Oryzias latipes: one gene and its partner. The protein of the gene in region 2 interacts with the protein of the main gene of each other region in a biochemical or structural test. Links are inferred from orthologs where the notes say so. Each region holds a gene or a part of one and is shown on either strand. Other genes may lie near its edges.

The links.
Region 1: the proteins of rho guanine nucleotide exchange factor 16 (region 2) and tax1bp3 form a complex in vitro, tested with the Homo sapiens proteins (2 studies listed by BioGRID and IntAct, with this or other methods). The link is inferred for Oryzias latipes from reciprocal best matches to the Homo sapiens genes ARHGEF16 and TAX1BP3.

What each region holds. Positions count from the first base shown.
Region 1 is NC_019862.2:30,694,512-30,698,902, reverse strand, and holds the start of tax1bp3 (tax1-binding protein 3), read right to left. Parts: upstream 3,052-4,391; 5' UTR 2,890-3,051; coding exon 2,851-2,889; intron 1,432-2,850; coding exon 1,312-1,431; intron 1-1,311. UniProt on the Homo sapiens protein: May regulate a number of protein-protein interactions by competing for PDZ domain binding sites. Binds CTNNB1 and may thereby act as an inhibitor of the Wnt signaling pathway. Competes with LIN7A for KCNJ4 binding, and thereby promotes KCNJ4 internalization.
Region 2 is NC_019865.2:7,812,026-7,816,554, forward strand, and holds the start of rho guanine nucleotide exchange factor 16, read right to left. Parts: upstream 2,871-4,529; 5' UTR 2,456-2,870; intron 1,818-2,455; 5' UTR 1,761-1,817; coding exon 1,176-1,760; intron 748-1,175; coding exon 702-747; intron 50-701; coding exon 1-49. UniProt on the Homo sapiens protein: Guanyl-nucleotide exchange factor of the RHOG GTPase stimulating the exchange of RHOG-associated GDP for GTP. May play a role in chemotactic cell migration by mediating the activation of RAC1 by EPHA2.

The DNA of each region.
Region 1 (4,391 bases), on a different chromosome or scaffold from region 2:
AGGAGGGGAAGGGGGGTAAGACCATGAAGCAGCATAAAGCAACAAGTTTACTGGTTGTTAATCATTATGGTAAGATTCAAATGCAGTAAAAAAAGGGCGGGGCCCGTCCACACACACACTCAAATGTTATAAACACACCTGCTAGCTGCAAAAATGTCCACCTGTCGACATGTACACAAAACAGATAGTGTTCACACACGCATACTTATGCCTTAAAACCAACTAGTGTTAAATATTTCAGTCATTCAATCATGCAAACTGTTAGTGCAAAGGTGAGCTAACACCAGTGCTCAGGTGAGTGTTTATGTTCTTCTAAAATGGATGGTGGAACGTGAAAAGAAGGAGGGAGAGTGCCCAGCCATCCCCACCCCAATACCCCCACCGCAGCAGCAGCGGCAGCCGGAATCCCCCCAACGCCACACGGGAACCGGCAGGGAACAACCGCCGCCCGGGCGACCAAGCCCGCCACCCAGGCCAGGGCCAGCAGGGCCGCCGCAAGGCCCCCAGAGCCAGAGAGCAGGGAGGCACGGAGGGAAAGAGAGCGCCGCCCCAGCCCAACCAGGAGAGCAGCCCCCCCGCCGCGCCGGGAGAACCCAACGCAGGGCCCCACCGGAGAAGGAGATTTTTGTAAAGGTTAGTGTGCCGTGGCTCAAAAAAGGTTTGAGAACACTGGACTAAAGTGACGATCAAATTTTTGGAGAAACAAAAAAAACTTGTAACTGTCCAAAAGTTACTTTAACACCTAAAGTGACGTTTTCTTCCAAAATAAGAGCACCTGCCATAAATAAGACCATCATTAGGGACTAAACTGTACTTTTTCTAAAGTTTTGCCTGTAAGACGATAACATCATTACATTTTTTAAACCAGTGAGGTCATAGTGGGATTATATTAGAATTAAGGAGTGTTGAAATATTTGGGATTACCTGTGCAGGCAGCCTGAGAGTTTGATCAGTTACAACAATTCCAGGCCTCGAGGGCCGGTGTGTCTGCATGATTTCCAGACAGTCTTGCTCTACTCATGGCTGATTACCTGGTTCAGGTGTGTCCAGCCAATCAGAACACGCCAGAGCAGGGTGTGTTGGGAAACATGCGACCCTCAGTGCCCACCTCTGAGTTACAACATGAGCGCGGCGACGAGCCGAGGCCCGTCTGTCATCGACGGCTCGCCACAGAAACATTCCTCTGGAAACTCCTCAGGAATTACATCAACTTTTTCACATCACGCCTGAATCTGCTATCAAGGATTCTTTTCATTCTACAGCAACAGAAGTCGGAAAAGGTCCCTTTTCCTGTAGATCCACTTTTCTTACTTTATCTGCTTTGTCATCAGAAAACGGGTTCTGTCCCGGATCCTGGTCGATTCCTCCTCCGATGCAGAAGCCAAGAACCAGGTTTGGTCCTTGAGACAACTTCTGGATCTCGATTCTTTCCTGTTTAAAGGAAACCGGGAATAGTTGGAAACTCATTCATCTCCATTTGGGTGAATGACTGACATTTAGAGCCAAAAGTTAAAGAAAAAAAAAAAAAAAAGATCTGTTTCCAGATTCAGAAAACAAAAACATCAACATATGTCACTAAAAAGCCTCTATCTTTAAAAATATTAATGAAACAAATAAAGGTTAAAAAATATTCTAAACTGAGTATTCAACAAAATTAGAATTCAAGAAACTTTATTTTATTTTTCTTCAACACACTTTCAAAATCAGAAATATATGAATCCTTGATTAAAACTTCGTTTTGGTTTTTAATTAAAATTGTGATTATATTTTTCAATAAAATCCACTGAGTTTCAAGGATCTTCCACCATTTTTCATCTGAATACCTGAAACTTTTTGTCCGTCTAGTAAAACAATAAATAGATTTTTATTTTATTTTATTAAATAATATTCCATATTTGGTCAGAAACAGACTGAAGATGATGATGAACAGACACTCGCCCTTTTTGCATTGTAATAAAATCTGCCCTGTTTTTTTTCGTATTAGAATTAATAGATTTCTGCTAAAGATAAAAGAAAAGAAAAAAAGGGTTTTTTTGCTGCTCTTTTCTAGTAAAATCTTCATCACGGCCCTGATGATGTCATTTTACCCAGTGGTGAATTTATATTTTTAAATCCTTGATAAAACGTTTTTCTTTGTTCTTTATTATTACTTTTGTTTCTTCACAAGATTGTAAACTCTGAATTTGATACTTAGACTAAAAGGTCGTCTTATTTTACAAACTAAGTGGACAATAAAGTTTTCCATATTTTGAAATCTGTCCCCGTAAAATCCACCGTGTCGTGAAACGTTCACGTACATCCAGGACATTCGCCTCTCCACCCCTTCATGACAGCTGGGACGTGATTTACAATAAATAAAAATAAAAATAAATCCTACGCACAGATGAAACTTCGGCTCAGTTCCCGCTTCCGCGAATTTTCCTGTTTTTGATGCGTTTTGGGAAAATGTATTTTTCACAAAACAAACAAAACAAACTTTTAGAATCCCCCATGAGGCATTTGCGGACCGGGAACACTGATTCACATTCCGTCCAGGTTAACGCCCTTTCTAAAGAAAATCAATCCGACTTCATATTTAAACTTATTTAGTTACTTTGGTAACTTACTTTTTATATATAAAATAAGAATCCATTAAATATTAGTTTTACTGTGCGCCACGTAATTTAAAAGTGACTAATTATTGAAACATAAACACCAGATTTCTTGGTCCAATTCTACTAGAAGGTCATATTTAGATGACTAAAACGGTTCTACGTGACATGACATTAGCTTAATGTACGCATCGGTATCCACTTTAGCGAAAGTCCCAAACAATAGAGAGGCGTTCAATGAATCAGTCCGTCTTCTCACCACAACAGCGGTCACAGGTTGTCCCGGGACGAACGACATCGTCAGTCTGTTGTTCACCAAAAGCAAAGGATGAAGCAGCAAATGCGGACGAAGAATCAAAAAAAAAAGCCGGTTTTCCTCCGCGGGACAACTTTTCTTGAAAGCTCCCTGCGTGAGTTTCTCGCAGGCCTCGACACGAAAACTAACGGCCTCCGTGATGAGGTCACTCCCACCACGAGCTGCCGGGGTTGTTCGTTTCTTTTACTTGGGGCTGCCAAGACGGGCGGGGTTTGATGGGCTGACCGTCGCGCTTTTGAATTTCCAATTTTTATTTATTTATTTATTAGTCTGTCCATTCTTTTCTATTGTGTTTATTTTTATTTATTTATTTTTTCAATAAACTTTATTGAAAATATACAGGATCATAACACAAATGAGTCAACTTTAAAATACACCGATAGAAAAATAAGTAACAAAAACAAAATAGGCCAGGGGAACATAAAGGCAAAAAAAAGAACAACAAAAAAACAAAAAAAACATTTTTTGTATTTTTGTATAAACAAGAGTAGTAAAAGCAGTAAGTTGCTATTCTGTACATTTAAAAAAATATCACAAGTTCTTCCAACTTTGGTGTTAAGAAGATTTTATAATTATTGGTTTAACCCAATCATAAAAAGCTTGAATAAGGACCTTTTGTAGAAAATTTTCACTTATAAATATGACATTTGACTAGAATTATTAAAATATTAATTAAGTAGTTTTCCTTTTCTAGTGAATTTTTAACCAAACAAAATATCTTTGTATACCAGATCACATTTTTTATACATTTAACATCGTATAAAGGAGGTGAAGTCTTTCCAAAAAGCTGCTGTTTGGGGGCATTTCCAGAATAGATGTATGATTGTTTCAGCGTCTAATTTACAAAAGGAGCCGCTTCTATCAATGTCTATGTGTAGTTAGGATTTGGCTGCAGCATCTGTGAAGAAGATTAAAGCAAAAGTCCCAAAGGTTTATTTGAAATAAAATATTTGGAGGACAAAGTCCAAACTTTCTTCCACTCAATGTCTGAGGCAAATTTTCTCCAATAGTGGGTCACATGTGGTGCAGTTGTAATATCCTTCTGAAACCGGGATCTTATTTTTTTATTTGTTGAAGGTCTCGTAGTAAAGCAGGAATTACAAAAATTGGTTTCAAACAAAGAAACTTAACGTGAGGGTAATACATGGGTGTACAAGACCTTTAAATAACATTTTAAGTCCTTCAGGAATAGCATCCATGACTCTTGCTAATTCTTTGGAGGTAACTGGAATATTATGAGCAGTTAAAAATTGATTGTAGGATATTAAACACCCTCTTGAGTCAAATAGTTGATTTACATATTGTTTATTATTTTTTAAACCAGTAAGGGAAGAATAAAGATGTATTTTTGTATAAAATATTAGTGTTATTCCAGAAATGAAAGCTGTGAGGAGAAAAGGCATGTTTATAGATTAGAGACCAGGCCAGAAGCATTTGCTTCAGAAAATGTGCTAATTTAATGGGAAACTTTTGAATGTTATAAT
Region 2 (4,529 bases):
GTGGAGTGCAGGCCGCGCTCACGCATCTCTTGGTAGAGGCACGGTGTGGCTGAGGACCAAGACTACCAAATTACTTAAGCTTTACATCTATACATGCATAAAAGTGTTTAATCTTGGGTTCAACTTACCTATATCATAGAACGACTGGTATAAAAGTAATTCTAAATTATTTTACAGTTATACTAAATTGTATTGTTTACACAACAAAATAAGGATCTTAATACATTTAAAGGAAACTATATAATTATTTAGAGCACAATTATTCTAGACTAAAAATAAGATAGTAAAATGGGATACTTTATTTTTCCTAAAAAACAAACAAAAAAGCAGTTTAGAAGTTATCGAGTTCTTGTCTGGATAAGGTTAAAGAAACTGTTCAAATCCAAATATTACCTGTTTAGAAGAGGTTATTCTGAACAGGTAATATTGATCAATAATCATTACAGGAAAGTGAACATTATTTGAAGATTTTGTATGTTTTCTCATCTGCTGGCCCAGAGGTCATTTCTAATGCTGGTAGTGTTCAGAGCAGCCCTCCACTTTTTTCACACCAAGATGTTGGACAAAAATTGTGGCGCTCATGAATAGTCTGCATGGAGACCAACATTTCTACTAAAATTTAGCAATAGTTATTTTCCAGCAATCTGTAGAACTGTAAAGAAATTGATTAAGGCAGAAAAGTGAGACATGCATGAACGCACCATCTTTAAATGATCCCCGATGGTCCTTCTTTCTTCCAAGGGTTCGCTAGAAAGGAAACAACAACAGGGCTAGAATCCATCTTGAGGAGTTTCTTCATTCCCTTAGTTCTATTTTTTTAGTGACTGTGCCTTTTTAGTAATAGTTTTTGTAAAGAATTATCTGAGAACTTCCTCAATACTAGTCTTGAAGACAGGAAGCAGTTGTGGAAACATCCCATCATGCCTGCAACTTCTGAAGAAATTCAAGCGTCACCGCTGTGATCAATGAGATGACCAAAACTTATTTTTATTTTTTATGACTCAGCTTGTCTGGTGGCTGCATCAGAATTAATGATAATGTGATTTTTTTTTTTTTTTGCAGAAAGGCTTTAATAACTTCAAAAATAAGCACTTCCAATTATAATGGTCTGCTTTTCCCACATGAGCAAACGTCTAAACTCAGAAAATTTTGAAAAAAAGAGGAAAATGGCATACCGTAGTAAACTTTCGTCCGACGGTGTGCGATGGACCGGGACTGCTTGCTCTGACCTCATTAACAGATTTCAGGGTGCTGACAGGCGCTCGTTCTGCGCTCATCATGGCTTCAACGTCCAGGCTCGTCACTGCAGCTCTGTATGACCGGTTTCTGCGGTTCCTCCTTAAATCAAAGCCGTCTCCATCACTGTCATAATCCTCCCACGGCACATCAGGCACCTGGGCTGAATGACGGCTGTGGCTCTCGCCACTGGAGTCCCCGCTTGACTTCTCCAGTCTCACTGGGAACGTCACCACAGTGGTGTGGTACCGGTTTTTAGGACGGCTGGCTAATGTTTTAGGGATGAGCTGGTGAGTGCCCATCTTCTGTACTGCACGGCTTTCTGTGCTTAAAACCACTTCATGAGGCTCCATGATCCTGTCATCCCGATCCTCCTCAAGGGTGGCGGGTTCACCTGAGGGGGTAGGAGAAGCTTCTGCTTGGAAGCATTCATCCCCTGGCTCACTTATATGAAGCTCAGTGGCAAGTTGACTCTCCAAAAGCGCAGGGGCCTGGTTGCCGTTGTTTGACTCACTTTGGGACATAATTTCCTCTTCTTGTAATGCTCACTGTTTCTCCCGGGCTCCTCAGCGCCAAGGAAACTGAGGAGGAGGGGAGAAGAACATCTGTCACATGCATAATAAGATCAGAGTGCAGACAGAAAACACATTTATGAAACTGCACCTTCAACTAATGACATGAAACATAGGAAACATTTATAATTAGACCCCAGAAGACCTCCAGTGACCCTCACAAGGGCTGCAAAACTCTGTTCTCTGGTCTCAAGCATTTAGGCTGCAATGGAATGGAGCAGCATGTTGTGTTAGTCAACAAACTGCTGTCAAGAGATTTAACCCATGACTCACAATTCAGCTCTATCCAGCAATTATCCTCATTAAACTGCTGAGACATGCTCCAGCCAAAAAGAAATGACAAGATATAAAGCCAACAATTGCTCCAGTGGTGTTTACGCAGCGGCACAAAACCAGGTAAACCACATAACAGGTATTTTTTAGACTTACTGTAACACTCCAGTTGAGCTGCGTAAATTGAGCTTCTAGGGCACCTTTTCTGCCACACTAATCTCACAGCAAATAAACAAGTTTGCTTGATCTGACCTGACCCGAGCTTACTTTATTGTAAGTTGTAAGTGGGCGAAAAATGCCTGCTGCGCACTCCCGACCCGTCCAGAAAAGTGAGCTGACGCACAGATTTAATCACTAAAATTGAAAAATCTTACCAAAATGAGATCACTGTCAAACAGCAGGCGCTCGTTCCTTGGGAATTCTAATCGGCCCGGTTCGGCGGTTCTGCTTCAGATCACCGGGGCGGTGCGGCGGCGGCAGCAGCAGCAGCTGCAGGTCTTCTCCTGCGCTGCGCTCCTTCACAGACTCACTTCCTCATAAGATTGCAGGCGCTCATACGTCACCACAGGTGAGTGCCAATCAATCAGCGCGGAGCGGCAGTTTGGATTAAAGAAAAAAACAAGTCCTTGAGTCGGTGCCTCACGCGGGTCACCTGCGCACTAAGTCTGACAACTGTCTTCATGACGTGGTTTACCTGGAAGAGCAGCCTTGATCACGGAAAACTAAATTTCAGGTTAAGTGATGTGTGAATGCAAAATTAACAGTTTTGTTCTTCTGTCAACTTTTAAAGAAGTAATTTATTTTCTTTTTCATTTTTCTGACTTGGGCCTGTTTTGACCAGGTTAACGGTTAGCCTTTACTGCCCCCTGTCGATAGACAATAGATATTGCATGTCTTTGCCAAGACGTCATTTCATTACATCGTTCAAGAACAGAGAAAGAAAATCAAATTCTTCTTACATTTAATTGTCTAAATTTTTTGCTCACAAGAAACAGTTTGCAAATAACATTCAGATGATTCTTTATACTAGTGTCATGTATTCTCACCTCATTTGATTCTAGTCTATATGTTGTTTCTACTTGGTAAAAGAACTTCTAAGAGACACAGATTAAATGATGTAAATCTATGTATTTGCTAACACTTCTTAAAATCAAAATGATGAAAAAAAGTAAAACAAACCGTTGGGTTCTTGACTTGCAATTTATAGTTTTATTTATTTTAAGCATCTTTACTTTGGGTCACATGCCCAATGAAAGTATTGCTTTTTTTACCTATTACAAGCTTGCCTCCAGAGTTTATCAATAATAAATCCTTCCTTCAGAGGCAAAATATCAGGTAAACTATGTTGCCAAGAAGTACTTCCAATTCTGATTTTAAAGTCCCACTTCAATCACATTTTGATCTATTCTAAAAGTGGACTTTTAATTGGGATTATGCTATTTCTATAAAAAAAAAACAATTGTTTTTTTTGGTTATGTTTTATTTCACTGTTTAATTGGATTGAGATCTATTATGAGGTATATGTGTCAAAGTAAAAAACAGTAGTAATATGTATGGATGCAAGCTTCTTTGTCTCACAGTCTATAAGCACATGGACACAATAATTTCTCTGACTGTAAGAGTACATTTTAGCTTACTAAGATTGAACTCTAAATTCAACAGTACTTTAAATAATAAAATTGATAAAATGATCACAAACTTTGATTATATCAGTGTCTCATTTCCTGAACACAAGCAAAAACATAAACCCACATTAAATATGTTGATCACATATTTATTGTATTTTTATTTAACAGTCTGAAAATACACTTTTAAATTAAGACAACATTCTATTTAAGCAAGGCTGAGACATTTAATATTATGCAATATTGAAATAATGAAATGAATAAAATCTGAGGGTTTTTATGTACAGTTTGCATACATATATGTGATTTAAAATATCCATAGAAAATTCAAATGGCAATGAGATGAACATTATTTTTACTTTTAATATGGCATCTGATGAAGTGAATCTGAATGTTTCCAAATGATTAACCATATTTGTAATTTATTTAACTGAAAATGTACATCCTGGAAAGAAGATGGAAACATTTTCCAACATCTATTAGGACAAAATGGTCATAATTACAAGGAGGAATGCTTGTGTTGGTAAGATTAACAATCTTCAAACAATAACCAGAAATGTGTCATTAGATCAAAAATAAGCAAAAGGTTGTAATACCTTCTCTTGACCAATTATGGATTCTAAGACTTGATATTAGAAAGAATAAACTGCACGTTTAAAATGTTAACTCTAAAGTGAGTTGAAATATGCAATGTACTACATAACAATCCTTTTTATACCAAATTAGAATTAGCTGTTTTACCAACGTTTCTGAAAAAAAAAAGACTGAATGTTGCTATAAAAAAGTAGCTGGCTTCATCTAAGGAACAACATATTTAGCTATA